3 linked regions of the Oryzias latipes genome follow. The protein of the gene in region 2 purifies or fractionates together with the protein of the main gene of each other region. This does not show direct contact. Links are inferred from orthologs where the notes say so. Each region holds a gene or a part of one and is shown on either strand. Other genes may lie near its edges. The genes, in order: rpap1, gpn1 and polr2g.

Evidence for each region.
Region 1: the proteins of gpn1 (region 2) and rpap1 purify together in Homo sapiens (affinity purification with mass spectrometry; 3 studies listed by BioGRID and IntAct, with this or other methods). This does not show direct contact. The link is inferred for Oryzias latipes from reciprocal best matches to the Homo sapiens genes GPN1 and RPAP1.
Region 3: the proteins of gpn1 (region 2) and polr2g purify together in Homo sapiens (affinity purification with mass spectrometry; 4 studies listed by BioGRID and IntAct, counting the BioPlex papers as one, with this or other methods). This does not show direct contact. The link is inferred for Oryzias latipes from reciprocal best matches to the Homo sapiens genes GPN1 and POLR2G.

Annotation. Positions count from the first base shown.
Region 1 is NC_019880.2:11,590,471-11,600,745, reverse strand, and holds part of rpap1 (RNA polymerase II-associated protein 1), read right to left. Parts: coding exon 10,210-10,275; intron 9,187-10,209; coding exon 9,071-9,186; intron 8,951-9,070; coding exon 8,852-8,950; intron 8,715-8,851; coding exon 8,613-8,714; intron 8,535-8,612; coding exon 8,367-8,534; intron 8,275-8,366; coding exon 8,095-8,274; intron 8,021-8,094; coding exon 7,886-8,020; intron 7,819-7,885; coding exon 7,648-7,818; intron 3,361-7,647; coding exon 3,203-3,360; intron 3,090-3,202; coding exon 2,919-3,089; intron 2,845-2,918; coding exon 2,649-2,844; intron 2,545-2,648; coding exon 2,435-2,544; intron 2,355-2,434; coding exon 2,159-2,354; intron 1,585-2,158; coding exon 1,438-1,584; intron 1,331-1,437; coding exon 1,188-1,330; intron 1,103-1,187; coding exon 670-1,102; intron 1-669. UniProt on the Homo sapiens protein: Forms an interface between the RNA polymerase II enzyme and chaperone/scaffolding protein, suggesting that it is required to connect RNA polymerase II to regulators of protein complex formation.
Region 2 is NC_019861.2:37,308,707-37,318,981, reverse strand, and holds gpn1 (GPN-loop GTPase 1), read right to left. Parts: upstream 10,021-10,275; 5' UTR 9,989-10,020; coding exon 9,851-9,988; intron 9,283-9,850; coding exon 9,189-9,282; intron 8,375-9,188; coding exon 8,268-8,374; intron 7,471-8,267; coding exon 7,433-7,470; intron 3,717-7,432; coding exon 3,638-3,716; intron 3,567-3,637; coding exon 3,472-3,566; intron 2,911-3,471; coding exon 2,865-2,910; intron 2,793-2,864; coding exon 2,646-2,792; intron 1,981-2,645; coding exon 1,898-1,980; intron 1,815-1,897; coding exon 1,775-1,814; intron 1,705-1,774; coding exon 1,614-1,704; intron 1,543-1,613; coding exon 1,438-1,542; intron 534-1,437; coding exon 427-533; 3' UTR 89-426; downstream 1-88. UniProt on the Homo sapiens protein: Small GTPase required for proper nuclear import of RNA polymerase II (RNAPII). May act at an RNAP assembly step prior to nuclear import.
Region 3 is NC_019868.2:13,734,871-13,745,245, reverse strand, and holds polr2g (DNA-directed RNA polymerase II subunit RPB7), read left to right. Parts: upstream 1-4,856; 5' UTR 4,857-5,095; coding exon 5,096-5,107; intron 5,108-5,355; coding exon 5,356-5,465; intron 5,466-5,635; coding exon 5,636-5,795; intron 5,796-5,973; coding exon 5,974-6,024; intron 6,025-6,133; coding exon 6,134-6,199; intron 6,200-6,336; coding exon 6,337-6,408; intron 6,409-7,031; coding exon 7,032-7,065; intron 7,066-8,232; coding exon 8,233-8,246; 3' UTR 8,247-8,521; downstream 8,522-10,375. Other genes in the region: uncharacterized protein LOC101155778, read right to left, coding at 662-949, 1,038-1,168, 3,958-4,057, 4,149-4,316, 4,390-4,458; eef1g (elongation factor 1-gamma), read left to right, coding at 8,701-8,712, 9,468-9,626, 9,714-9,777, 10,080-10,222, 10,334-10,375. UniProt on the Homo sapiens protein: Core component of RNA polymerase II (Pol II), a DNA-dependent RNA polymerase which synthesizes mRNA precursors and many functional non-coding RNAs using the four ribonucleoside triphosphates as substrates.

The sequences.
Region 1 (10,275 bases), on a different chromosome or scaffold from region 2:
CAAGCTAAATGACGTCAATTCAGTGGCCATCTTCTTCCCAGACGACGTCAGCAAGGTGGGATTTGTCTGAGTCGGTCTGAGTCAACGTTTCTATGGCAACCACTCTCGCCAACCAGGAGTGAGCTTGTTGGAAGTCCACACCCCCATCACTTGGCAGTTATGGGGGTGTTTCACCCACAAAAACAAACAGCCAGACTTTTGCAAAGATGGATGTGCATATTGTGAAGCCTTATAAAGGCATTTTAGCTGATCACAGCTAGCTCTGCGGAGAATGTGGGGGGGGGGGGTTAGCCTGGGGGCGGGGCGTACAGCGCAGAATCTTCCTGGAAAGCGCCGTTTTTCATTCATCTACCTCAGCTCCTGAGAACCCGCTCGTTTTTGTGGGTTGGGAGGGGCTGGTGCTCAGAGCGCAGGATTTTAGAAGAATAGTCAGAAATGTGTGCATGGATCAAAATACCACCTTTGGGGTTTCTTTTTGTGAGGAATGAACATTATGATAAACTTAAAATTTAAAAAAAACGGATTTTGCACGGCCCATTAAAACTGAATGACAGTGTGCTAAAACAAGGTGACAAATTTGACTAATGACTTTTCATATTTTCAATAAGAATTAAAAACCAGTAAATCTTGAGGGCAGATAATAAATGAGTGCATTCTTCGATTTTGTACCTTTAAGGACTCCTCCCTCCAAACCTCCAGCAGCAGTAGCCACTGCAAACAGTGGACAGCCGCCTGTAGAGCCCCCGCTGGAAGCTCCTCTACAGCCAGCCCCCCGCCGCCAGACACTCCTGTCTGCTCGTACAGTTTGATGAGGGGGAGGAACGGCCAGTCAGATGGCAGGGTGGGCCCCGTGACCTCCGGGAGGAGGTGGGAACTGATCCACGGGTTGCGTCCAAGCAGGGCTTTTCGGGACGCGATCACAGACGGTTCCAGATAGGCGAGATGAGTGAGGAAGCAGCCCCGTATAGACGGCAGCTGAACGCAGGCTTCTCTGAGGAGAGCGCCAACAGTCTGTAGAGATGGAGATGGGTGGAGTCTGACGTCGTCGTGAAGCTTTAGCTCCCCGAGCTCCACAGCCTCTGGACCTCCACTGTGTCCCTCTCTTAACAGAAAAACAAACAACAAAAACTTAGACTAACTATCAGACAATAAAGGTGTAATTATCCAGAGGAAATAGTTTTTCTTACGATATAAAGTCCTTGTTGAATATAACAGTAGACAGCAGTTCATGTGCCAAGTATTCACTGCCTGGTAATAACCAGGGAAGAAGCACCAGTGCCACCTGGTGATAAAGTGAGGCCTGTTTCGCCACCTCTACATCGACAGGAACCTGAGAAATGTTTAAAAAAGAAAAGGAAACGGAAGAAAAATGAAACAATGCAGCTCTTTCAAAATGACAAATATCTACCCCACAACTCAAAGTAGATCCACACCCACCAGCCTGTGAGCCATCCGCAGCAGCAGGTACAGGAGGAGGTGTTCGTGACGAAGGAGCCAAGCCCTGGACACAGACAGAGTGGGCGTGGACTTACTGCAGGCCTGCAGGTAACCAATCACAGGCTCTGACAGGAGGAAGCTCGAGAACTAGAAAGAAGGAAAGAAATTCAGGCATTTAAGGATTAAAGAAAAGCACTCCAAATAGGCCTTAATAGAAAACTTTAGGGACAGATGAAAAAATTCATATAAAATGTAACCATTTACAAAAAAAGAACAACTTTTTACTACTTTTTATGAGACTGTCATCCAAAGTACAACAAACAAAAACTGTCATAGACTGCTCTATTCTTACCAAGAAATAAATTATTTAACAAATAGTAAAAAAGGATTTCCCTTTGCTTACATAATGGATAACTCCCTTTAAAAAAAGAAAGAAAACTGGAATTCATTTTTTATTCATTTTACTTGTTTTCATTTATTCATAAAATATGAAAAATATTAGATTTTTGTATTACTTAAAAAATATTTAATAAAATGATTTATTTAAAAGCAGTGCTAAAGTTTTAAGAATTCTACAACTAATGTCCTCTCAACCCCAACACCTCAGATATGAGAGGTTTTTGTTATTCACCACCAGAGGGCAACACCTTTGTAACAATTTCACTACATGTTTTGAATGTAATGCCACATTAATGGGTTATAATAATGTGTTAAACTCCACCTTGCTGCTGAGACCTCTATGGATCCCTGTGATTGTTTCCAAGAGGGATCCCAATCCGATCACAAGAGCAAAAGGGGAGCTGGGAACAACAAGCCCAGAACGTTCCTTCCATCCTGCGCAGGCTAAACCTGGAAGATTCGAGGTCGTCTCTGGACCCGGATGGTGGGACTGAACGTTGCAAACCAAAGAAGAGGATCTAAACAAGATGAAAATGAAAATAAACAGCCTTAAAATGTACATTTTGAGAGAAAAGAGCAGCAGAGTTATCAGAAGTACCTCAGGTTGTTCATCAGACCTTGCACAACACTGTGACACAGAAGTGGAAGAAGAACATCGGAGGTCAGAAGCTCCAGCTCCTGAAGAGTCTCCACTGGTTTGAAAAAGGTCTGTTGTATATGCATTAAAAGAAAAATATAAAATTATTTGTTTGTTTTTACTTCAAACTTGAAATACCTCGATTGCTCTGCAGATAGAAGACAGAACGGAGTACCTGTCTGGAGAGCTGTTGGTAGTACGCTTGGAGATAGACCAGATAAGCTGGTATCAGGGTCAAGCTGCTATCTGCCTGAACTGGACTATCAAGGCTTTTGACAAGACCCTTCAGATGCCCCAACAGGGATGCCTGCAAGCCCGAGACGTGACCCCAGGAAACAGGAGGCGGAGGAGGGCACTCCTCCCCCTGAGCGCTGCGATGAACACAGACAAAGCCTCATGTAGACGAAGGCTTCAAACCAGAACAGAGTCATCATCCTGCAGGTACCTGAGGACGCCAGCCTGCAACTCCTGATGGCAGCCGGCTGCGTGTGTGACCTGTGTGAGCAGAGAAAGCAAAGCCGAGAGCCGCTGCAGCTGCAGAGGCTGGAGAGCGTGTGAGGGCGGCGCTAAGCGATGCCCAGACTGGAGTGACTTCAGTAAAGCAGAGTACAAGTCTCTTCAAGAAAAAACAAATGTGAAATCACAGGTGATTTAACAGAACATTAACCACAAAACTACTTTTAAGGTGTTTTCTTTGGTATACAGTGTAACCTTCAGTGCTTCACCTACATGTATAGTTGGCATGCCTGTCCATAACCGGCTGCCACCGCCCAGAACCTGTAGGCCTCAGTGGTGACCCTGAGAGCCTCGGACGGTTCCAGCAGCAGCTCGCTGGGCTCAGCGCCCAGCAGACGCGACAAACGCTCCTTCACACCCAGAGAGTTCAACTAGGAAACAGAGTTAAAAACTCTTTGAGAAATACAAAAGTGAATGTGGCAGCAACAAATAGTCCGTTATGTCATTCGAATATTTGGAATAACCTTTCGACCCATCGATTGGCCTCGCCGTCACACATTTGTCTAGACTTCTGATAAGCTGCTAATCAAACAGCAAACATCGATCCAGGAAATTTTAGCCAAAAATTCAACCAGTGTGACTCAGAGATAAATACCTGGGTCCTGAACAGTGCAGGGGAGGTTTTACACATTCCTTGCAAGATAATCATGTGTAAATTAAATACGTGTAAAAACAGATAAGTACACAATAATCACTGTTAAATTCATTCACATCTAAGTTTTCTAAAGTTCATCCCACTGTTGGTCTTCCACATCCAAATGGTCCAAAGGGAACATTATTAGAACATTCTAGCACACCGTGTGGCCACATGTCTTTGTTAAAATCAATGACTTGATCATTTTTTCCTGCCGTCACGTGTGTGCTGTCTACTGTGATGCACTTGGTCGTTTTTATGTTATAGTTAAACAGTGATGAAAGTCAGGTAAGGAAAAAATCCCTGAACTTTTCTTTGAGCGATATGGCGGGCACAGAGCGAAATTTTGGAAAAATACGTGGTCTTAGATGCATTCTGGTGCATTCTGGCAGCTAGTTATTCACTTCTTTATCAAGAAACTAAGACTAATTGGAGCATCATGATTTGTCATTCAAACCCCTAGTTTGACTCTCCATTAAGGACTTGCTGGTCCCAAAAAAGAATTTGGAAAATTGCTCAAAGTAACACAATCCTACAATCTATGCTTTTCCTTAAAGCTGCAAAACATACAATTGCTAAAATATAGTAACATCAAAGCCCCAAATGGCAAAAAGAACACCAGTAACTATGATATTCTATGAAAATACCTCAGTTATTTATACATTATTTCTGCTTTAGAAATGACTGATGTACAACATCCACTTGCACTGTTTTCTCAAACTATAATTACATCAAAATATGGGATCTGCTTTAAACTATAATTCTATAACATAATACATCAATTCTTTAACACCAATACTAAGTAATCTGGGAAATATCAAAACAAACATAAAAAATAAACTAAATATTGTAAACATTATTTTTTAAGGGAGTGCGGGTCCAAACCATCAAATACTTATAATTAATGTTAACTATACTGAACTAAATCATGGTAATTAGGAAATACAAATAAATTAGATAAAGAAATGTATTCAAAATAAAAACTGAAACTCAAAACTAAAGTTGAAATTATTTCAAAATGTGGTTTTGAGATTATTTTACACAAAGAAGTATTTGACCTACACTACCTTAAAAATCTTTTTTTTCCAGCCAAGACCACTTCAATTTGTTTTTTATCGTCTTCTCACAACTGAGGTCGTGACCAGGCTCAATAATGACGATGCCTGCCATTATTTTAACACAAATTTGATCGCAAACTCTTCAGATGTGTTTGTGAAAGTTTAGCGTGGGTCCGCCAGTTTTGGTCTCTAGGGAAGCAAGTCACGCTGACCACGTGGTGCAGACAGAGCCAATCAGACCCATCGACGCATCCGAAAGCAACTAAAACGTCCCGTCATTGGTCAATTAGGCCCGGAAGACGAGAGATGGCCACGACCATAGAGGAAGCGATCTGCGGAGAAATATAGAAAATAAAGCTAAAATTAGCTGATTTCAGACCATTTTTTAATCCGGAAAGCGATTTGTCCGTAGAGATCAGGTCTTTATTTCCCGGAAAGTACGTTCGGTTTGCTCAAAAACCCGGATTTCCGGGAATTCCCGGAAGACTTTCATCACTGTTAAATAAACCTAACGTTTAATTAATTTATCTCATTTTGTATATATTCAATAAGGATTTAGGTCTTTTCGATCTGCTTCAGACAGATCGATCTGGTTGGATTGTAGGAAAAGAAATCGTTGAATCAATGAAACGTTACACCCCTCATAAGCACAGGTTTGAATAGCAAGGCAACCAAATCATAGTGATAACACACAGCTCTGTGAGCAGAGCGTAAACTCACTTTCCAAAAAAAACTTTATAGCCAATCTCAGCTCTCCGTTTGTGTTCCTCTGCTTCTGCAGCAGACTCTGCCTTGAAGTTTATTCCTGTGGTAGGTCATTTCTAGAGTTGTCCCAGGGAACTGTGAGCTTTATGAAATGTACAGACTACAAAATTCTCATCTCGTCTTGTTTGTGCAGGCAATATTCTAAAAAACTATAAGCTGGCTTCCCAAATCCAACTCTCACATATCGGTTTTTCATCTAGAATAGTTTACCCAACAGCCTGCTAGTGTGCTGCACTTATCTCTTTGATGAACAAACGTCTGCTTTTTTCCCATATTGCTGCATTTTTTTCTATTTACAATCTGTGAGAATATGTGGAGGTGAAGTTTTCCCTGAACACAATAAACATGATGGATCTCTACCTGCCTGCATCTCCCATTTCGTTTCTTTCTCTTCCTCGTGTCATCAGAGAAACTGCTTTTGCACATGTTGCACCTTCCTCTTGAGCTTTGATTTATTAACAACCAGCCTTCTGCTATCAGCCACAGCTGCTCTGCAACTGCTGAGACAGACTGAAACCAAAGCCGCCACATTCATGCAGCACCTGTGCATCAATGCTGCCTGAAGCTGTAGCTCCGCCTCCTTTGGGCTTCCACTTCCTTCCTGCAGAAACTTTAGGGACCTTTGTAATCTTCACTTTGAAAGTTCAGAATTGTATATAATTTTAAGTATAGACTTAATCCAATATAACCATATAGGAGATTTAATTCTATTTGACATGAAAACTGAAAAACAAATGAGAACATGAAGTTTCCTGTCTGATATTTTGTACTTTACTTTAAATGAAGCTTTAACTGTGCAAATTTGACTAAAGTGCCACTTCCCCTCATCTCTGGACTCCACCTGCACCAGAACCAAAAAATGGATGAATTTCACGTAAATAATTCATCTTAAAAAGCAAAAACCTCTTGAAAAACATATTTTAGTTAATATGTTTGAGCAGCCAACTTGTTTATGACCTTATCATACTATTGTTCACAAATATAAAAAGCCATGAGTAAAGTTCTTTATCTAAGATCCGAAAATGCTTCAGCTGGATTAAAAGTTGCCCAAAGCATGACTAAAATAAAAACAATTTAAATAATCAACTATCATTTTTAAAGGCAACTGGAGTAAGAAACTTTAAAATAAATGTAAAAACTTGTCAGAGGAGAAAATCTGTGGTAGAACAAAGAAAAAAAACATAAATAGATATTTATGGTTTATTAATATTAAATATTTGATGCAGCATAAACCCTTTTAAAGAACGTTCTGTTCCTAGAGTTAATTAAATTATATCTGTAGTGATTGTTGTTATAAATGTTATGAATAAATGTGTATGTTTCCCAGAGGCCCGGGTAAGGGGGAGTTGGAACAAAGTTCTGATCCAGACTAGCTTCTTAAATCACATCTTTAATGTGATTTTTCAGAAAAAAGGAAAACAAATCTACAGTAACTGACTTCCTGAGCATAATACAAGTCCAAGTTCTTCCATTGATGGCACAGGTATATATTCAAGATTTGGTGCCATAAGTCTTTAGTGTGTCAGTTTAAACTCGATCCACCTGTTCTGGCCTCAATAGAAACTAAACTTTCACCTCCACCAGATTATGCATTTATCCAACTCTTCCAGAGTGAGTCTTTAATCATTGTGTCATCGTTGTGTCATTATAAAGAAAATTAATCTTAAATGTATTTTTCTGAGTTTTTTTTTAATCAAATCAACAGCAACAAAGGGCGAGCTTACTCAATGCCAACAGTCCCACCCACAACTCAGAGGGCAATTTCCAATGAACTATTGCCGCTCTGCAGAAACTTTGTCCTAGAAAACAACACAGGATTTTAGATTTAGCCTAAAAACGGCATAAACATCACTAAAAGACCACTGGGAAAAAGCATATTAAAGCATATTAATATGCTTTAATATTAAAAGATTGAGACTTAAAAGAAATGAAGGAACACTTATGGTAATAATCTAAACTGATGGTTGTCTGCTGGTATTTTTTTATTTAACCTCTGCTTTTTGTCTGTCATTATTTTACTATATTATATATTTTTATTTTGCACTACTTTACTTTGTAATTGTTTTAACCCTTTAACTGCTTTTTTAATGTTTGTTTGACTGCAATCATATTAAGGCGCCACATAAATTAAAGTGATTTGATTTCAAATGCATCTCAAAGCAGCTAAAATGACAGTTTTTTCCAGTATTAAAAATAATTACCAGTCTGGCACAGTTATGTCTGCCAGATGTAGCCAAGACCCTCAAGAGCTTCATGGCGCTGGGCACAGGAACTCCATATATGGACTGAGGGTTGGGTGAGGAAGATGCCGACCAGGAAGTGGGGAGAAACTCTGACGTTACCGTCTCCATCAGACGAGGACAGTTCAACACCTGAGGAGGAGATGAAGGGCTGGAGTGATCCAGTGAGTTTGTGAGCTGCTCCTTTCACTCTTCTTACCTCAGTGGCAGATGACAGCGAGTGTCGGGCCACACGGGTCAGGATCTGCAGGACGTCCTGAGCCACCCGAGGGGACGGCCGCATCACCTCAAGAATGTAGCGCAGCCTGGGGAGCAGCTTCATCTTTAATAAGCCCTAAAACATAAAAGAAGTCAGCCGTCTGGACTCAAAGGAAGCAGAAGAAAGAGCAGGAGAAGTGGTTTGTTCACCTTGACGACATCCTGCTGGGTAACATCAAAATCACTCTTCTGTTCCTCCTTTTCTTTGGCCGTCTGCTTCATGCATCCATCCACCCCTTCATAATCCTCCTCCTCATCATCTTGGGAAGAGGGCAGCAGAGGGAAGGAGGCCAAACCCAGGTACCAGGAGAAAGTAGAATCCATGCACTCCTGAAACATTTTTCCAAATTAAACTTTTTTGGGGGGGTTTAGAATTCACAAAAAAAGAAAAAAAAATGAGGAGAATCTCAGGAAAATCTAACCTCATCTTCAGAAGACACGAGAAGGGCTTTAAGCGCGTGCACAGCTGCAGACATCACTCCCTCCACGCCATCGTCCAGGGCAAAGCGGAGCAGGAAGAGCACGCCGGCGTCCAGCAGAGTGGAGGTCACGGTGCCTCTAAGGGCAGATGCGTACTCTCCAGCACGCGCCTGAAGGACAAAGACATAACTACAACGAAAATACTCCCTAAGGATGAAGATGACAGACTTTCGGGTCTGTTTGTGTACCTTGGAGAGGATGTTAGCCAGAGTGTTGAGAGCCAAACTTCTCTGCTGGATGAGCTGACTGCGAGACAGCAGGAACAGCTCCTGGAGGGAATATCCCGCCCGCTATGGAGACACGATGAATGTCAGAGTGAGAGGTGAAGGATTCCATTCAACTGATTCAACTGATTCTTGTCAGCAGAAGACAAACAATTATAATAAAAGGCTCATATTCTTATGCTTTGTGAACCAGTTGTGCTGACCTCAGGCTCCTCTCCATGGTGGTGCAGCCCTAAGTGGGTGGGTAGATCTTCAGTGGGTGGCATCAATGTCCCGGCAAAGTCAAAACGGGCCTGCATGGCCTTTAGGAACAAAAAAATAAGCCGTTTTGTCTGTTGGTTGCTACAAACAAATACAGTTCAGACAAATAAATGGAGTTCAAGCAACAAATCTGAGCAGAATTGCCGGAATTGCTCATTTACCTTCTCAGTTCCCTTCTTCCTGGGAGGAGGCAAGTCTTTCATCCACTCCAGCTTCTCTGGCTCCAGTTTGTCCATGTGGACCCATTCCTTCTGAGGCTTCACTGGCAGCTCCACCTCTGAATGTAAGGCAAACACTGCCAGTAAGGAAAAACTGTCCAAACACCTGGACGTACCAGCTAAAGAAAGACTTATTTTGGTTGAAACCAGTTTTGAACAAAGCTTTAGAATTTTCAAAGTGTCTTCTGACCTACAAGGCCCTCAAGAGGTTTTTTAGCTCTACATTCAAAAGCAGCATCTCTGCAGGTCAGGGCTCTATTAATGAGTTTGTTCTGGGCAGCCTGCATGTTTTAGAAAAAAACATGTCAATGCTGAAAGTTTTAGCTCACTGGTTACTACATCATTCAGAATGAGTCAAGCAGCAGCTTTACTCCATGGTAGGAGAGCAGCCTTGACTCTGAAAAAACAGGGATGAGGAGCGCAGGGAAGATTCATCGGGGGGGTCATCACACTGCCCATCCCCAGAGGACTTATTCTCTCCTGCCCTTAAGCTGACGTAAATGAAGAAATACACATATTGGTGCTAGCCATCAATTGTATTTTTTCTTTTTGTTTTGTTAATTTGGGATAGCAAAAAAAACAGTTTTAATATTTAAGTAAAAGGGGCAAAAAATAATAGGTTTTTTCTTTCTGCTCCTCTTTCAATGTCCAAAAAATGTGTATTGTTTTGTTGCTTTTTGTAATTGTTTGGTGAAAATAAAATAAAGCAAAACAAAATTTTCAAAAAAAATAAATTCATTACAATAAAATAAACAAAAACACTTTTTTGACATCTGAACAAACCCAAACAAAAGATTGAGTCAGGTCCTGGTCTACAATACATTCCAAAGACTTTTACATTTGTATTTTTATCAATTTGTTTCTTCATTTGGACAGATTTTATGATTCAATATCCAAAACCTTTTAATCAGTTTCCAATCAAATATTATGTCATGTGATTTCAGGTATTTTTGTTTTCATTATTTTCAAATCTGAAAAAATATTTTATAGTAGTGTATAGTTTAAAATAAAAAAATAGCTTAATTTAAATGTTTTTCTAAACTGTTTCCAACAATAAACTAAATTCTGTGTAGTTGAAATACCTGTAATGATTGCTGATGGAGGCTGTGGCTCCTCTTCTTCCATGCTCCTTTCACAATAAAACACAG
Region 2 (10,275 bases):
TCAGGATTTTACGACCAAAACTGAGGCTAAACTACGTTAGGAAGTTTGTTCTCTCAAAGCTTTTATGGCCTTTAAATGTAAAACAGACTCGGGTGAGAAAAAGTGTTTAAATGAAATGTAAAAACTGAAAACACATTTGTTAAAATGCATTTCCTGCGTCTGGGTCACCGTCACATGCCGGCCACTGACTGAAGTCTCTGATGTTTATTTGTTTAGATCATAAATCTGTTCACAAACAAAAGCAAACAGTCATAAAACAAAAACATTTCCATAAAAAAATACTTTCTAAAGGAGCAAAGCAGCCGATCGGGAGCTCTGCATGGGGGTCAAAGGTCACCCCATCAGTCCACAGCTCTCACTGTGTGTAGACACCACCTGCTCGGTACATTAGCCTGTGCCAGTCCACGGTCTGGAGTCGCTCAGAGGTCACGGCGCCTCAGGCACGGCGCACTTCCTGTTCCGCACCTGAACCACTTCCCGTCTCGCCTTCAGGAAGTTCCCGAAGGCGGCGCTCTCTTTGCTCTCCTCCGTGACTGAAAGCACAAACGTTCACATGTTAGCGTCTCTGCGCCCCCTCCCTGATGGAAACATCCACACGCCTGGTCCAGAGAGGGAATCGAACGCGCGTCCTCAGCAGCTGGAAGGGTGGGGAGTGAAGTGAGCAGAAACTGCTGTGGCGATCACAGATGAGATCCAGACGTTTGGATCAATAATCAGAGGGTAAAGAATCGTTACAGTCGGACTGAACCATTGATCACATTAGCAAGGGGGGGGGGGGCCTGAATAAAATGTAATTCTTGGATTTGAGTCTAGACGTTCAGCAGCAGAAGACAGGTCTCCAACAGGAACAACTGGAGTGACGCTCCACCACAGCACAGACCTGTCTTCATGCAGAAGATCCTCCCGGTTGGCCTGGTGACGCCGGATGGCCTCCAGCGGCGCCGCTGATCTAACAGTTTGGACCGACGGCGGGTCAAACCTTTACGTTTGGACGTTTCATCTAAACGGAGGAAAATCTTCACGGTTCCGTTAAAATGCAGAGCAAACATCCCTAAAGACTAAAAAATCTGTTTTAATGTTTATGTAAATATGGAAAAAAGGCTCTTTATGGATTTTGCCATCCTTTAAGTTTCCTTTGCTTCGTTTTTCATCGCAGTTTTGCCGCCTTTTTCCCTCCAACACGTTTTCAAACTGAAAGTGTAAAGTGAAGCCAGTGAGTTTGTCCCTTAATGAAGATACTTTCTACAGAGATGTTTTTCTTTCTCGTCGTGCCTCATCTCGCCTCATGATGGCGCTCAGGGGCCGATAGAAGTTGATCACATTGTTCGATGACACAGAATTTGGCTCGGTTGCCACAGCAACCAAACAGGGGCGGAGTTTGTGATGGCCGCCTGTTTGGTTGCTTCTACGGAGTCCGTCCACCTTCGTCTTCCTCACCTGTGTGGTCGATGTCGTCGGTGTCGCTGTCCTCCTCCTCCTCGTCATTGTCGGGGTTCCCACGCATCATGATGAGGTCACTGGGTCCCGCCTCCTCGCCGCCCTCTGCGGTCGGACACAGAGTCAGTTGGAGTTAAATACAGGGTTTTTTAAAGAGTGGGCGGGGCTGTCTGCACCTGTGGGCGGAGTCCCGGTCACGTTCACGGCTCCCAGGTCCTTCCTGAGCCGCTCCAGCTGCTCCTGCTGCTTCCTGCTCTGCGCCTCCGCCTGGGAACAGGAGCGTGACTCAGAGAGCGGCCGGCGGAGTCGACCCCACACACAAACGCCAAACACTCACCAGCTGCTGGCGGAGGCGTTCGTACTCAGGCCGGTACTCTCTGGGGAAGGAGGCGGAGCTTCGTTACTTTCACCGTATGAAGCAGCAGAGGGTTTGAAGCTTCGTTATGCTTCCCAGACTCACGTCTCGTACTCTTTGGCCGCGTCTTCCACCTGAACGAACAGATCGTCCAACCCGCTTCCCGTGACAGCAGACACGCCCACCACCTATAGAGACACGCCCACTTAAACTCTGCCTCGGTTTGTTCTGTGCTATGAACAAAAGTCCAGACAGACTTTGAAAAACATCTACACGACACACGGCGTAACCTTCAGGAACCGGCAGGGAGAAACAGCAGAACACAAACAGCTAACAACGTTTAATGAACGACAGTGAAGTTAAAAAAGACGTTTCTACGGTGTTCTTCTCCGGTTTCCTCTCCTACAGCGCTCCTCACAAGACCTTTATTTTGAAATGTCAACAGAAAAACCAGGACTTTAACTGGATGTTCAAAGGCGCAGGGCTAACTTCAGCCAAACTGTGGTGTCAGAGGAGCACCGTGATGGAATAAACAGCCACAGCACAGCAGAAACCATGAAAACTGTCCAACCTTCCACACAGCTCTAAGCCAACGGCTGAAAACAAAGCAGGCCTGCAGACATGGATGTTCCTGCTGTGTTTTTTATTATAAATAACCTTTGTAAATGTTTTGACCACTAATACTAAAATGTTTTATCCTGAAGTGTAGCTCCTGTGCTAATAACTCTGGCATATTTCTGTGGAAGCAGCTGCTGAAACATTGATTAATGTGTCCTGACAGAACTTGGATTTGGTTCCCTGTAGATCTCATGGGTCAGCGCTCTTTGCACCTCTATGGACTCCTGACTCTCACCCTCAGGTTGGTGTAGAACTCGTCCAGAACCAGGCTCATGGACCGGGTCAGGTTGCTGACGTAGGACGTCTCCTGGTTCAGCGCGTCCTGGAAGGCCTCAAAGTCCTGCATCCACTCCACGGCGAAGCCGTGGTCGATGATGTCCGTCTGCAGAACCAACAGACAAACGGTCGGCGGCGGGAACGGCGGCGTGACGGCGTGGAGGCGGGACCGACCTACCTTGTTCATGACGACGATGAAAGGAAGCTTCGTTTTGTAGAGAATGCTGCAGAAAGAAGAAAGGATTCATTCAACAAACACCAGCAGGGGGGGCAGCAGGAGGGGGGGGGGGGGGGGATAAAAATCCACATCCAAATCAAAAGAACCACAAGAAGACATGAAGCTGGCGTCTGCGCCGACAGCGCCCCCTGATGGTTGGTTCTACTCATAACTTTTCTTTGTTCTGCTTTTTATTTCCAGTTTTAACGTATTTACAGGAAAAACTTGACAAAAAGCTTGAATGGAAATAATCCGTCTGTTCTGTGTCATTTTTTTATTTTGTAAATCGGTCAACTTTCCAGGTATGAGGGTCCACCTCTGATCAGTAAGTGGCAGGTTTGATTCCCACTCTGCCTGTTCACGTGTCTTTGGTTTGACATGGTGGTCCTTCGCATGGCAGCATGGTGTGTGCACGTGCGTGTGCATGTGTGTGTCTGGATGTAACGCACTTTGGGCCTGAATGAAGGTAGAAAAGCGCCGCAGACGCCGTTTACTGCATGTTCTCTGTGTTTGAGACCTGAGATGCAGCGCTGAGCATTCTGGGAGATTGAACTCCGGCTGCCTTTACCTGCAGGCGTACAGCATGTTGGACATGAAGGTGACGGGGTTGACGCTCCGGGACGTGTCCATCACGTAGACGACCACGACGGGAAAGGACGAAGCCTGAAACACAAACACAAGGTGACGACCACGACCACTTCAGGACGCCGTAGACGACGGGAGACTCCGCCCACCAGAGCCTCCGTGATGATGGTTCCAGACGCCGACCAGGTGAAGACCTCAATCTGACCGGGGGTGTCGATGAGGACATACCTGCAGGGGCGCACAAGACTGTCACCTTACTGGTCCACCAGACCATAAAGGGGCGGAGTTTCCGCAAACACTTTACATTTGGACTGAAAACAGATGTTGACAGTTAAAGGTTGTGTCTGAATTCCCGCCCAAACCCCTAACAACTAAAAAACTATCTAGTGCCCTGGAACACAAAAGCAGGTCGGACGCCACGCTCACTACTTTTTTAAACCGCGACTATGACATCACGATTTCACAGAGTGAAAATCTAGTGTTTTATGACGACCATTCATGAATCCACAGAGTTCAGATGAGGAAAACATTTTTAAAAAAATACATTTTTTCTCAAAAACACAATGCTTTATAAAAGCACACAGTCACAGCCACACACCAACCCCAGTCGCACACCGGTGGCACACTCTGCTGCTGAACACTGGCGCCAACCCCCCACCGGGGCAATGTGGGGTCTGGCGTCTTGCCCAAGGGCGCTTCCTAAGCATATGGGCGGTTAGGGCAGGAATCGAGCCTTCTGATCAGGAGTCGACCGCTCTACCACTGCACCACGGCCGACCCCCATTGTGGTCTATATTCGCAGATCTAGTGAGCATCGAGACTTCTGGGAAATTTCTAGGGCACTCGACTTTGGAAGTGTAGATTCTGACAGCACTAGAAAACGCAGAACGCTCTACAGAATGAGTAGGGAAGGAATTCAGACACAAGCAACGCCATTCTGTCATAAACATGAGTGTGATGTCATCAATCAGGTCATTTGATGTCACGCTAACACAGTTTACAGGATATTGTCGTGGATGGATGTAGGGATGAAGACAAACAAACACTGTTGAGTTCCAACAACCTACGATGAGTCTGACAGCCGTTCAGATCCTTCCAGGTCTCTGGTTTGGTGATGATTGTTCTGATAAATGGTTTGTTTGGTTGCCGTTAGCAACAAAATGAGACATTTCAACGAATCTTAACGAGACCACAAAGCAGACGTGACGTTTTTTAGAGCTGGTCATTTCTCATTAGGGGGGTGTATTGGCGAGAGTCTGGCGAGACGATACGTGTCATGAAGGGCAAACAAAAAAAGACTTAGAAGAAACTACCATTTAATAAAATGGTCAAATTCAGTTTATTTAATGATCATAATGTTAAGAAATGCTTTTATTTTGGTAACTTAAAATATAGAAAGGGAACAGTTAACATTGTCTGATTTCCACCACAAAATATTTTTCAGTATAAGAAAAATAAAGGAATGAATGTTTCTTAACCAATAAAGGCCCGTACACACCGGGACGAATATTCGCCAGGCGTTATTCGCCACGTTTTTTGTGTTCATACCCAGGCGATTTTTGCTGACGATGAGCCGAGTGAACATGCAATTTCATTCCCTGACATTAGATGGCGCTTAATGTAAACAGAAATACTGTACACAAGGTGGCGCTGCTCAACTTTACGCTTCTTAAAGTCGCTTTTCACTCAGAAGAAGAGAGCAAGTATTTACACGCTTGTCAGAATAATACAAAGAAAACATGAATAACATGAAAACATGAAATTTTCGGGAATATTTTTTTGGTTCGGGGATATTTTAGAATGTCCGTCATTATTTCTTCGCGGCTGTGTAGACGCTACTTGGCGTCTATCTTCTTCGCTGGTATGTGTGCTCAGCAAGGGAGTTTTGTGTTTGAGCGCCCCCAAGTTGTGTTTTACTGTAACTTCAGAAGCTCCAGACACGTGTGCAAAAGCGCCATTCTCATTGGTCGTTTAGTTTTTGGCGCGTCAAACCAAAAAAACGAACCCGAGGCGTTTTTTAAAAACTGACGCTTTGACGCCTGGCATTTTTTCGCGTCGGTGTGCACACTCACATTGGTGCCCTTTGTTTAGTCACGAGGCGTTAAACGTCGGCGAATTATCGCGGGTGAAATTCGTCCCGGTGTGAACGGGCCTTAAGGTTGTAAAAGTAGGATTGGGGAAATAAGGTGGTTTATTTTCAATATTGCTAACTGTAGCTTCTCCAGTATTTCTAACGGTTCAGGAGATTCAAAACCACGGATTCTTTCCGGGAACAACAAAGTGATGATGATGAGGCAGCATGACAGGATGAAGGAAAGTTCCTAACGTGACAAAGAGGCTTTGGTTACATGTCTGCACCGCTGCAGCCACGCTTTCTCACACGGAAGTAAACCAACACTCCTCGCCACGGCGTGGGCCTTTTTTCAGAGCGTTGTTCACATCCCTCTGATCCATCAGGCGGCTGAACTACAATCTAATACTGGGAGGTTCTGCAGAACTTTGACCCGCTTTGCCGACAGCATTTTAGCCGATGCTAAGCGCATTAGCCTCTTAGCCGCTGTGCAGCTGCAGAGCTTCACTCGTTCTGATCTCAGCCTCAAAAAGCACAGCAATCCACGATTTTCTATGTTACCGGCAGCAACACGGCAGAGTTTCTGTTCGGTACCATCCTAAGTAGAAACTCAGTAGTTCATGTCTGATAACAACAGAACCAGCTGCTTCTAGCTGAGGTCTTCCTGTAGTTTTGTAGAGCTCATTCTATGTCACAGCATTACACAAGAGAGGAAATAAGCAAGTTAAGATCTCAGTTTATTAAATATCCAATTTTCCCAAAATACAAAGAAATCCATTTTAAAATAATGAATGCAGTCTATCCGTGCAAAGAACTGTTACACATACGTTTTGGTTTTCCAGAGAATAACTGTTCTTTTTGTGATATAAATATTGAAACACTTGATCATTTGTTTTTTGAATGTATGTATGTTTACAGTTTTTGGGAAGATTTCTTTTTTTGGTGCTCTTCAAAGTTTCCCTTTCCTATTTCTATTCAATTACAAAAGCACATTATATTGTTTGGAGTAGTTTCTGGTGATAATCTATTTGATTTGACATTCAATACCTTATTAATATCTGGGAAATTTTTCATTCACAAGTGCAGATTCTTAAAAACCAAACCTCTATTCAATACATTTCTTAAAGAAATCAGTTTATATTTTAAATCTCTGACATTGATGAAAAACAAAAAGGCAATAAAACTGTGTGTTTTCATTGAAGATCACATGCTGTATCACAATCCCTAGTATTGTAAACTACAATTCTATATATTTTGTTTTATTTATTTACTTATTTTCTTTTTCTCTCTTTTTTTGTGTGTTGTTATTATGTGTATGTTTAAAGTTCAAAGAAAAAAAAAAAAAAAGTTTTGTAGAGCTGCTCAAAGAGGCTCCATGTTCTCTGCTGCCAACTAGTGGTTGGAGGTTGAAGTGGACAACAAGAGGCAGACGCTGAAGGACGCTCAGAAATAATGAAGTAAATATCGTCCTGGCAGTATTTTGAATCCATACCATGGATTGATGAACTATCGCCATATATCACCTAAATGATTTTTTCTTACACCCCTATTTCTCATGAACATCATTGCAGGGCACCTGAAATACAGACTTTAATATTGTCGGGGGCTTGTCCGGGATGCTGTTTTTATTCACGAGTTCAATTCTCCCTCTCAAAAGCAGACCGTTTGATGTGATCTGATTGGCTGAGAGGAGAACGGTGTTTGATCCAACAGATTCTGTCTGCGGATTTTCCGTTTTCTAAATGAAGGCATTGAAACTCCTCTATTACCGTTAGCATACAAGCATTCTGCAACCCAGCTACACACAAACCCCTTTAACTCTATTGAACTCTATGGATGTTCATTCTCGGTTATGGTGCCGGTTTATACTGACCGGTGGTTCTGCTGCTTCTTCTCAATGAAATGCATCACCTGCAAGAACCAAAGCACACAGCAGGTCAGTGGGTCCAGCTCTGTTCAGCTTCAACAGTTCCTCTGCAGTTTCACTTTCCATCAGTCTACAGACTAAAATATCCGTCTGCGAGGATTCACATTTTTACTTTCTGTAGGAACCCTGTAAAAAATAAAGAACTTTCAAGTCTGAAGAAACCTGGTTTGGCCTCAAACTGAAGTGTCTTCAGGATTTTTTAACAGCTTTTCTAAAATTCTGTTCTGAGACTTTTACAGACTAAGGTTGTGTCTGAATTCACACCCTAACCCCCCAACTACTGACATCTATACAGTGCGGCACTATACTAAAAAATACATTTAAATACTTTTTTTTTTTTTGCAAAAATTGTTCCGACACAATGCATTGTGGTCTATATTCTAGTGAGCATTGATGCACAGTGGTTTTTTCAGAGACTTCTGGGAAATTTCTAAGGCACTGGATTTTGGAATTGTAGATTCAGACAAACTAGAACATGACGAACGCGCTGTAGAGTGCAGCATGTAGGGGTTAGGGTGGGAATTCAGACACAGTAGAGTCTCAAACAGACAAAGTTCCAACCCTTCTCATGTCTGTAAACTTTTACTTCATGATTTTAACATCTTGTGAGACGCGTTACTTAGAAATGTTATTGTTTTCCATCATTCAGCCACTCTGAGTTTTTTTATTTAGCTCTAGTATCAAACAGCGTTGAGCTCCTTCATTGGCCTCTGAGGTTCTCCAAGCTTCTGCCCGTCGCTTTTCCTCCTTCAGACCAGACCGTACGGCTGGCTGACCTCACCTGGTCGAAGCGCGTGGCAAACAGGTTGAGCGAGGTCACGATGCCGCCGTTCGGGCCGAGCCCGTACTGCTTCATCACCTCTTTGTAGTTGACAGTGTCCCTGATGTCTGCGGGGGGGGGGGGGGGGGGGGGGGGGGGGGGGGGGGGGCACAGCAGAGCAGAAAGCAGATTTAGAATCAAAAACTTTAACAACTTCTTTTCCCAAGTCTGATGCCAAGAAAGGTCTGAAGATTCATCAAGTAAGGGTTAAGTGTGTTAATTCTGATAATGTACACTTTGTCTGAAATTAACCCGGTTATACCATGGTTAAAGAAATGAATTTTCAATCAGTTTTAACTTCTTCATTCTTGTGGTGTTTTTCCATTTGGATCACTTTTTTTTAACTACATAAATTGGACTAGTTAGAACATTTAAGCTATGTGACCGGAACTTCTTTTTTAGGTGTGCGGTTATCACTTTTTATTCCACACCCAGCAGCCAATCAGAATCAAGAATATTCTTACTTTTTCCATAGAGACATAGGTTTATATGAGCTGCCGGTGCTTTTAGCAGTGCGTGGTTTGTGCTGCTCAGACAAAAGTCTGGAAAACATCCATGAGAACAGAATCCAAACATGCGAAGGACTTAAACACAAACTGAAAAAACAAAAAAAAAAACGTCTTTTTCTACTTTAAGAACAGAGAAACAGTCAAACAGTGATTATTTCAGTCACAGAAGGAACCGTCACGTCGATGAAACATTTCTTCTCTTCAACTCCAGGATTCAAGAGTGTCTGAATCCAGAAACCTTTCAGGTTTTCTTCTGAAAATCTTTGACAAAGTTTCCTGGTCTTTAAATGTTGTGTGTTACAAAAACCATAGCAGGACTGTGTGAAACTGTGTGGATAGAGGGTGTGTGTCCAGTAAGTAGACTGTTCCTCACCGATGTTGGCTGGAAAGGGGACTTCGTGGACCGCCGGGTCCAGGTTGATGACGTAAGGAGGAGCTTTGTGGGAATGAAGATGAGCCGTCAGCCTCTGCGGGAAACGCCATGAAGGTGAGAACCAGACAGGAAGCAGCTTGGAATCGAAACGTCTTTTTATATTGTCAATTTATGAACAGTAGTGTTAGCCTGAAACCTTTAAATCAGGTGGAACCAAACAAGAAATTTGATTTCAAATCCATATTTGGTCAGACTAAAAATCGCTTCATAAACATCTCCAATTCAAACTTTATTCATATCAGCTCTAAATCCGGGGCACTTGATAATTAAGTAGTTTTTTGTAGTAGTTATGCTTATGAGTAGTGATGATAGCCTAGTACTGCAGCAGATTACGACTCTTTTCTCCACTTTTTCCACTTCACTACTTGGAATTTCGATTTTCTTTTATTTTTCTCACGTGGCTTCAAATTCCTCCATATATTCAGACATTTTCCGCCCATTTCTTGGTTATTTTCGCTCGTTCGAATTAACATTTCAAACCCAGAATCGTTTCCATCAGGACGTTTGTTGAGATGGGACCACAGATGTGCTTTCAGCACATAGACGGTGACGGAGGATGAAAAGACGCCGCCGGGCGCGCGCCACGCCGGTCCGTCACTCACCTGAACGAAGGTGGTCTTCCCGGAACCCGCCATACCCAGAACCAGCAGGCAAACGGGCCGGTCTCGGGGAGAAGCCACGCCGTCTCCCGCCGCCGAACTTTCCCGGCTCTCCGTTGAACCCGCAGCAGCAGCCGCCATGTTGGTCGCTGTTATGACGACGACCTGCCGTCAAACCGAAAGGGTTGTCGTAAAATATAGAACTAGGAAGAAGCTACCAGCAGGGGGCAGCAAACCCGCATGATTGGCACTTTAGTGATGACAGAACAAAAGTTAGGGGTGGTTTGTAAAAAAAAATGATTACATTTTACAGAAACGTTACCAACTGTATGGCAGTAGAAGGTTCTTGGTGTTTCATCTGGAACAATAAAAGCAGATCAGGAGACTTGGAGGTAGAATGAAGAAGTTCAGAGAATGGGACACTGAGC
Region 3 (10,375 bases), on a different chromosome or scaffold from region 2:
AGAAGACTCTTCTGATCTTCGTAAATGCAATCTTTCAACAGCAACAACTATAACACAATTACCTTCTTCACTCATTTTTAACAGCAGTAACTGGCAGCAGTAACACTTTTATTGGATAATACATTTATAAAAAGCAAGGAAATTATGCATTTGAAATGACATTTTGAGTCTCTGAGTATAAGATATTCATTTTATTTAAAGGTTAAACATCATAAGATTGGCTCAAAGCAATGATTGCAGTTTAGTACATCCATAAACTTATAAATTCTAATGTGAGGAAAGAAAATGAACAGCAAAACTAAAATGTCATCAAGTGCAAATGAGCCCAACATAATCCAAATCTCATCATTATGTTTTTCATTCATCCTCCTTTGATTTTGTGCTGGAAAAAAAATAATCATATTTTCTGCAAAACATTTTTTTTCCTGCTTAACTTTTTACTGGAGCTGCTAAATATGGGAAACTTTCTAGTTTTAAATATGCATAACACATTGTTAAAATCCAGCCTTGATGGCTCCCAGCAGGTCTGAGAGAATACATAATACAACTTATTACAAAAGAGTGGAAGTCAAACAGAACTTCTTTTTGTTTTTGGTGTTTTTGGAAACTACCAATCTCCCATTTATCTTGTGCTTTCAGACAATCATGTAACCTTCCCTCCTTAATGACCATCTTTGGCCTCGTCCTTGTGTTTGTCCCGCGGCACACGGCCCATATTATAGAATTCAAGGTTGGGCCTCATGTCAGTTAAGTGGGCGAGTCTGTTAGACATGGCGAAAAAAGCAGCAATGGCCGCGATGTCCCAGGCGTCCTCACGGTCAAAGCCGACTTCCTCCAGGGACTGGAAATGTTCCTCTGTGATGGTGTCACAGCGACACACGGCCATCGCAAAGTCCAGCATCGCCAGCTCCCGAGGGGAAAGCTCTGCGTTTTTATAGTTGACTACCACCTACAAAGAACAGAACAGTGTAGCAGTTTTGGAACAAGTTAGTTAAAAACCTTCACACCTTTTTTTTTTAAGTATGAGATATGTATACCTGATCAGCAACAGTTGGTTTCTTGGAATAGATTCGATGCAGAGCACTGTGAGACACCACACAGTAAAGACACCTGTTGTGAATGCTGGTGGCCACTACTATTAGCTCACGCTCTGCCTTGGTTATGTTGCCTGGAAAGAAAATTTAAAAGATCACACTTATGATCAAGTTAAATAACATAAAAGAAGAAAAACATTATTTTAAAGTGTTTGTTCTTATGGGTTGTTGATTTAGGTAGACATGAAATACATTTTTCTCTAAATAAAAAAGGTTTTCCATAAAAGGTCGTATGAATCCTCAGCTAGCCTCAAACTTTTTACTGTTTCCCAATCATTGAAAGGAGCAAAAAAAAAAAAAAAAAAAACATAGAGTTTGTTTTCTTTTCATCACTGTAGCCAAACCTGACAAAGTCACAGTTTTGTTGGTTTATGCATCACTTCTGATCCCAGATTTGAACAAATGTTTTTCCAAAAAGAGATTATCCAATCACAGAAGACAGAATGAATAAATCAGAGCAACCTCCCCAGTGCAGACATTAAAGGATCACCAGACGGACAAACAGTCTCAGAAATGATTGCTGAACCAGGAGCTAGCATGAGCAATAGGCAAGGCAAGGCAAGGCAAGTTTATTTGTATAGCACAATTCGTACACAAAGTAATTCAAGGTGCTTCACAAAACAGAAAAATGCATTAAAATCACAATACATCATGACAGTCATGACATCACATTTAAATACATGCACGTCTACATTCACTCATGGAGTCCCCGGACTGGTAGAGAGATACCTTTTTTTTCTTCTTCATTTTTTACAGTAAATTGATTTGTTTGCACACCAAAAATGTAATACAATATAAACAGAATGAATTGTTTTTGTGTTTGGCCAGCTGTCTAAAATATATTGATTCATTTCTGTCAGCAAATCTTTGAGCAACTGTGATTGTAAAGATATCTTATCATGGTGGTAACTTTGATAAAGTCCTCTAACCAAACTCAAACAAACCAAGAAGCAACACAAGGGGTTAGCCAGCTCTGTGTGGCAGGGGCGGAGCCTTTCTCATGCGCCAGGGGGTGGAGCATTGACTATGTATGAGAACTGTGACCCCTCCTCCCTCGCGTTCTAAACAAGAAGTACCTGTCGGCTCAAAGAGGCTAAAATCCCATAGACTTCTATAGAGAAACAGCTGTAATCATTCTTCTATCCTACTTTTTCTCTCCTCTTGCTAATCCTATATTTTTCCCCATTATTTTTTTTTTCTGGTCTCACATCGAAAGTTAGAAACGTGTGACAGATTCTCCAGAGCCTGCTTTCAATTGGTGGGGGTGTGGCCTTCCAATAGGCTCAGTGCTGATTGGTGAGAGTGGAAACGATGATTCAGACCAACTCAAACCAATCACTGTTTCCTAACGTCATCTGGCTCCAACATGGCGGCGTCCAAATCCCAAGATAATGGTGACTGAATTGACTTCATTTCGTTGAAGTAAGCCATTTTTTTTAATGGATGATGTCACACTTGCTCTGACCAGTTCTCACATCCAGTCAAAGGGGTGGAGCCATCCATATGCATCAACAGGATATTTGGGTTGGTGTGACAGAGATGGAACCAGCCTTGGGTAGCAGGGACAGGCCTTTTTATTTTGACAAGGGCGGAGCCAGCCTTGAGAGAAAGGGGCGGGGCCTGTGTAATGCAACAGAGGAGAAGTCGGCTTCGAGTGACAGAGGCCAAATTAGCTTGTTTGAATGTTTTTAAGCTACATAACTTGTGTATCAATTACGTAGCGGGTCAGCTTAACATAGTAGGAAATATAAATCTTTTCCAGTAAAGATTGAAAATACATCCACTACAACAAACATTAGACTACTACTTAGAACCACATCCAACCAAACCCACTGTGAATGGTTAAAGCACACGTGTCAAACTCAAGGCCGGGGGCCAAATGTGGCCCGCCATGTCACTTTATGTGGCCCGGGAGAGAATAAAAGTTTTTAATTCCTTAAAATAATTTATTTTTGTTGTAATTATTCAACGTTTGCAGGTCTTATGTGTGTGCAGACAAATTGTTGTCATCAAACCATCAGTTGGATGCAAAGCTGTGTGCAGCCTTTCTTTGTAAAATGTTACATGTGTAATACATGTTCTTTCTAGCTCAGTTCATGTTATTTTTCTTCATTTATTTGGACAGTTTGATCATGGGTTTTAATAAGCGGACAAAATTCTAAAGTATTTGTGCTAGAGTAACAAGCAAACATGTTTTCTATGCAACTGTAATTTTAAAAAGTTATAACAAATAAATAATGAGTTATTTAACATTAAGGAGTAGTTACATTTATTTTTCATTACATTTAGTTACATGTATAAGTTATATCTGGCCCTTTGAGGACAACCACTATGCTGAAGTGGCCCTCAGTGAAAATGAGTTTGACACCTCTGGGTTAAATCTCACTCCAACCATCTTTTGATCCAATTTTAAAGTGTTACCGCTGGTCTTTTTATTATGATTATGTCATTTTTAGCCAAAATCAAAAACCTGTGTCGTTTTCTAGGACATATGTTCTGCACATCGGCAGCAGCTCATGAGAAATTCATCTGGGTTGTTGGCGGGATTCTAGGCACGGAGTAAGCCCGCCCCCACTTCCCGTCACCAATCTGTTTACACTAGCCTACAGCCCCTCACAAGCCCAACCTAACATAAGTGGTGCAACTAAAACGGCGAGCTATCCAGCCGTACAGTTTTGAGCCAAATACCAGCTGGGATGAGGAAAACAGAGACGGACATGGATCTGTCTGCAAGTGAACGGAGCGGAGCAGGAACTGCAGTTTGAACGTGTGTGTGTGTGTGTGTGTGTGTGTGTGTGTCAGAGTCTCTGAATTCATCTTCACGTCCTTCCAAAATAAGGGGTAATTTAAAGGCAACACCCACCTGTATCTTTATTCATTAACTCATTGTAGTAGGCGAAGAAGGCTCTGAACTCAGCTGGTCTATGAGACAGGACTTTGAAGACATTGGGCAAAAAACCTCCCTGTGAGAAGCAAAACATAGAAAGAAAGATGTACATTTTCACAGTGTAAACCTTAATTTAAACGTCGAATTCGTTATTTGTGAGCGTTTACCTTTGCCTCAACCTCTTCCATAAGCTCCACTATGTCATAAGGGAGGTTTTTTCTGTAGGGAATCGGGTAACGACTTATTTTCTCCGGTGGACCGCCGCTGGAGGATTGTCTGGTCGCCGCTGATCCGCCAGATCTCCCCTGGAGTAAGAGGCTTGACGCGGGCGGAGCCTTAGTGGACACCGAAGGAATCAGCAACAAGCACGACTCAACAAACACCACACAAGACTTTTCAACTACTCACAGCTTGAGTTAGTAAGGACGACCGAAACAACAACTTGGAGACGAGTTTGCCTGCCATGTCACTCCACATCAATGCAGACCGCTTTTTTGTGGTTGGTTTACGCTTTTTAGTCGCCTCAAATACTCCAGGGCTTTCCTAAAATTATTTACTTTAAAAAATAAAAATCTCACACATTACTATCTACAGATATTATAATTCGAAAAAGCTACAGTTGAATGCCGTCCAAACATGAGCCTTGTTTGGGGTGATTTCCCGTCGCGTGTGGCCACACAGACGCTATTTAGCTTTGTGTTTGTCAGATCTTAAATCGGTTGAAATCATCCAATGAATAAGCTCCGCTGAGTGACGCCTGTTCTTTAGTACGCCCTGTTGCGTCGGCTCCTCCTCGCCAGTAGGGGGCAGCAGTCATGAGTGCTGAACATGGTCTGAGGTAACCTTTCTTAAAAATACAAATTCAAAGTTATAACCACACATTTGATTTTCACGATATACATTTTACATTCTGTGGGTTTTATATATTAACAATACAAGGGTGCCATTTCTTCTCTTTTAAAACAATGAAAGGGCAACTATCTCATGTGACCCGGAAGAGATCGTTTTGACACACCGATGCCTTCATGCTAGCTGTTTTAGCATAAGGGAAACACAATTTGGACAAAACAGTGCAAAACAATCAAAGAAAGAATCTACATCTATATACAACAATATGTTTTATCATGTAAGTACTTGAACTTTTCCACCCCTTATGAGAGTATTAATAGATATGAAGGGAGGTTTTCGTCTTCGGTTTTTGCGCGATAATGAGGCGGCTTCACACAACTTTTTTCAAATCCCTTTTACCAAATATATCAGCGAAGTTTTATCTTCCATTGTTTGGATCGGCTTGTAACAGCAATGTTATTTGGAAAGTTTTTCCTCTTAAGTTAGCACGATCATAACCACGCCATGATCATGATGTGTTTACAGATTTCTTTGGAACATGAAATCTTACTACATCCACGGTATTTTGGTCCAAATCTGCTCAACACAGTGAAACAGAAACTCTTCACGGAAGTGGAAGGTACCTGCACTGGCAAGTGAGTAACAGCTAATCATAAATAAGTGCATAAGTGTGATTACTTTGTAAGTTTCTAGTCTGTCCTGAAAATAACAAGCATTTGCATTCACTTTTCTGTAATGCTGGTTTGTATAAAAAAGCTTAGAACTGCATCCCTACAGTATTTCCTGCTTGTGTCCCTTCTCCCAGGTATGGTTTTGTCATTGCTGTCACTACTATTGACAACATTGGGGCAGGTGTGATCCAGCCAGGTAGAGGTTTTGTACTCTATCCAGTCAAGTACAAGGCCATTGTGTTCCGCCCATTCAAAGGAGAAGTGGTGGATGCTGTGGTCACGCAGGTTAACAAGGTAAGGACCCATAAGTACCTGTTGTAGGCCTTTCTAAGATGTTTGCCATGGAATAGATCCTTTTGTTGAACGCTTGTTTTTCACATGGAAAACGTAGATTCATGAATTGTTTTTCTGAATTCCAGTCTCTTTAAATACATTTTCTATCCTCCTTTAACAAAATTTGGGTTCTTTGCAGGTTGGCTTGTTCACAGAAATTGGTCCCATGTCCTGCTTCATTTCTCGCCATGTAAGTTTATGTAACATTTAACACTTTACTATATATATATCTTGACCTAATATGTAGGTATGTTTTTATATTATTGTTTGTGTATTTTATTGTTTTTTTATTCTCCCAGTCGATCCCTTCAGAAATGGAATTTGATCCCAACTCCAATCCACCTTGCTATAAAACAGTTGACGAGGTATGTGTCATTACTCTGTCTGTTTTATGCAATAGTAGATTTAGCATGCAGAGACATTGAAGGCTACTTTTCTCTTTCAGTTTTTAATCCTTGTGATACATTTGATTTTAATGAACATTTCTTATTGTGTTTATTAGGACATTGTAATCCAGCAAGATGATGAGATTCGACTGAAGATTGTGGGAACACGAGTGGACAAGAATGACATTGTAAGTTTTTTCCATAAATATTATTTTTGATCTTTTGACCAGTAGCGACACAGATCCATTAACATCTTCATTTTCCTTGACTGAGCTGCCAGGACTGGATAGCTCCAAAAATTCCTCGCACTATTGTCATCTTGGGGCTGTAAGCTAGTGGGAAAGAGTGTAGACGGAGGATTGATACGAAATTAGCGCAGGATTACTTTGCACCAATAGTCCCGCTGACAACTCAGAGGTGAATCTCTGATGAAGGTTCCTACCATTCGGCAGAAACTATGTCCCAGAGAACATCACAGTTTTTTGTTGTTTTTTTTGGCCAAAAGCAGCACAATCCTAATGAAAAGACCACTGGGAACAATTTAACAATAGATCAAAAGATGATTGGATTGGGACTTTAGGTCCATATGGATTCTTGTAATGTTCCTTTCTTTGACTTTCTGGTGTTTTTTCAAACCATTTAAAAGAAGAACAACAAGCTTAGTTTGAATACAGCAGGATCTGGTTTGACAGTTAGTCAAAAGCCTGATTACAATAAAAGCAACCTCACTAAAACATCTGCTTGTCGAAATACCCATGTAAAGAATTGTGCAAAACTATTCATTGAAACAAGTTTCCTCTTTGTTTTCTAGTTTGCCATCGGATCTCTGATGGATGATTATTTGGGTGAGTATTAAATGTCAAGTCAGAATTATTTTTTTTTTTTTTTCAATCAAACAACAACATAACTAGACGATGATGATCTTTATATAAAAAGAACACATACTTTAGAATCTAAAATATGTTTGGTTACTATTTTAAATTAAAATTTATTTTCATTCGTGTTGTATTATTTTTCTTAACTGTCATCAAATTCATTCAGTGCCAGCATTTGGAAATTCTAATATTCAAACATACGTACAACATTTTATACACTGAAGTTTAGGATTTAGTTTTACATGAAGGACCTTCTTAAAATGATCTTCAACTTCCTTTATCTCACAAAATAGATAACTTATTAATTCTTCCAAATATTCAGTGATTCTTTACCATAAACAGTACATTTTCAACGCAATTGATACCTCACAGTATACAATTGTCATTTGTTTTAGTACAGTTTTCAATGCAGTATTATGATTTAATGGTAACATTTGGTCAATAATATTTTCATATTTTTAAATCACAGTGATTATTATTTGAAAAGGTATTACTCAGAAAGTAAATCTGTCAGATTTCAGTTTGTAAATTGCATATAAATGGCATTAATAAGCAATAAAATATTGTCCAAATGTAAGAGAAGAATTCAAAATAAATTTCACGAAAGAGGCTGCTCTTCTTGTTAAATAAAACGGACCAAAACTCATTGAATATGCATAATCATGCTTAAGTGATATAGGTCATAAATCAAATTATTTTTTAAAACACTTTTCACACGTTGGTAACACAAATGCTTTGCTGAATAAAAAATATAATTTTAACTTAAGTTTGAAGGCAAACTTAGCGTAACCCAAACTGCCACCCAGCCCAACTCGTTCATCTACAATTAAAAAAAAATAAAAAATTCTATAACCTGAAGCATTTTCTCAGTCAAAATGTCGAACACCAGAAGCACTGTTCGATTTATAATTGATTATTTTAATTGTTGTCTAACTCGGGTGGAGATTGTGCTGATGTTGTCAGTCATAAACAATGTTCAAATTAGTCATCCTCAGGCCGTCCACACGGTTACAGAATAATGCACATAATGAAGTGTGTATATATATATATATATATATATATATATATATATATATATATATTATGCCGTTTACAGATTCTATATCAAACTAACCCTGGCTTTTTCTTTTTTTTAAGGTCTCGTGAGCTGATTTCTTTCAGCTGAGTGCTCACCACCTGGGACAATTTATGTAGTAATAACTTCATGATTTATATTCATGTTATGGTAGGATTTAGTCAAAGCCTTGCTGTTTTTTTTCCAATAAATTAACATTCTTTATTTTAGTTAGTTGAATTGGTGTCAAGAGATTAATTCTGCAGTTTTGTGTTTTTATATATATATAAATTTGGTTTAAGTGGAATACATACCTTCAAATTTAGTTGTATCATTTTTGTACTTTGTAATAAAAGATTTAACTTTTTCGTTTATCTTTGTATCATTTTTTTAATCACATACGTCGACAAAGTATTTGTTGGAGTGTCCAATATTTATCTTCTAACACTTGAAAACTCAGTCACGTGCGCAGCAAAATGGATGGGCACGTGTCACGGTCGTAAATACGTCACTGATGTGCGCCGTCGTTCTTTCTTTCTCTCGTCCTGAAGATGGCGGCAGGGGTGAGTAAGATGGAGAGGAGGCCAACAATGGAGTTTTCTTTCAACCTTTTCGTCACAATCCGTCTCGTATCTATGTCATCTGCTCTGTTATTGTGTCGTTTAATAGACACATTAGACCATGTTGCTGTTTTTTAGTTGGTAGAGGGTTTATTTGTCATTTATATTTAAGAAGACGCTAACAATCCTGCCTGTTTAATGGCTAACTCGGTTGTGCCACGTTACAATATTTCGTGAGACTGGGGATGATGCTCCTAAATTTTCCGTGGCCATGCCACTTTATGACCGACGCATTTTTTAGAATGATTAAAACAAAAATCCCCAGATCCTCTTTATTCTTTTGATCGAACCAATCAAATAAGTGAACAGATCAGATGTGGTTTGCTAGTCTTACAAAAAGCACAAGTCGCGCTAAGCTAGCTTACTTCTAGTTTGTTTCTAAAACAATGTAACCATGCCACTTAAGTTTAAGAGGCGTTTCAGCCTATTGGTATTCCATATGTATTTACTTTTGGTAAAATCTTTTTTAAAAGTGCTCCGTTTCTGATATGCTCATTCATTAGCCAGGATTAGCTACAGCTGGCATCGTTATCACATTACCTCAGTCTAAACCTTTTCTCATATGAAACAATACAGTTTAAATTAGGTTTGGACCTGCATTAAAGCAGTTTAATCATAGAAACGTGCACAGAGATTGCATAACTAGATGGATTCAATACATTTAGTCACAAGCTGATAGAAGTTTTCCTGTATTTCAGACTATCTACACATACCCGGAGAACTGGCGGGCCTTCAAAGCCCAGATCGCTGCCCAGTACAGTGGTGCTCGCATCAAAATCGCCAGCACCCCCCCTGCCTTCACCTTCGGACAGACGAACCGTACCCCTGCCTTTATTAATAACTTCCCGTTGGGCAAGGTGAGGGCAGCTCAGTCACATTCAAGTCTTGTTCTTTTCCTCATTAACTAGTTGGGTTTCACACAGCATCAAATCCTGTGGTTCTAGGTACCTGCCTACCAGGGAGATGACGGCTTCTGTCTGTTTGAGAGTAATGCCATTGCTCACTACTGTAAGTCACATTTTTTTACTTCTTAGTCTCTCTAAACGGTCAGAACAGGTTGCTTTAATTGTTATCCAGATTCTCTAAATCAATTCTATTGAGTTGAGGCAAAACGATAGTGAAGCCTTGTTAGCAAATGTTGCTAAATTTGGGGGTTTTGCAGTATGGTTTTATGAATTGTTTAAATTTCGTGTTTTCATAAATCCACTAACTGCTTTGTTCATTCCATGGAAACTCATTTGTCTTGAATTTGTATGAGGCTTTTGGTTTTCAAAGATCAACCGGTTGTTTTTCTGGCTTGTGGCCTACAGTGAGCAATGATGCCCTGCGCGGTGCCACGCCTCAGGCAGCAGCGCAAGTGCTGCAGTGGGTGAGCTTTGCTGACTCTGAGATCATCCCTCCAGCAAGCACATGGGTCTTCCCTACTTTGGGAATTATGCAGTTCAACAAGCAGGTATGCAAGTCTTTATTTTCTGGATTATTTGGTTATTGTGACATGATTCTAAATCACTGGCTAACTGTTAAGTTTTAAACTATTTTTTTTTTTTTTTTTTTTGGTGTGTAGGCCACAGAGCAGGCCAAAGAAGATGTAAAGAAGATCCTGACC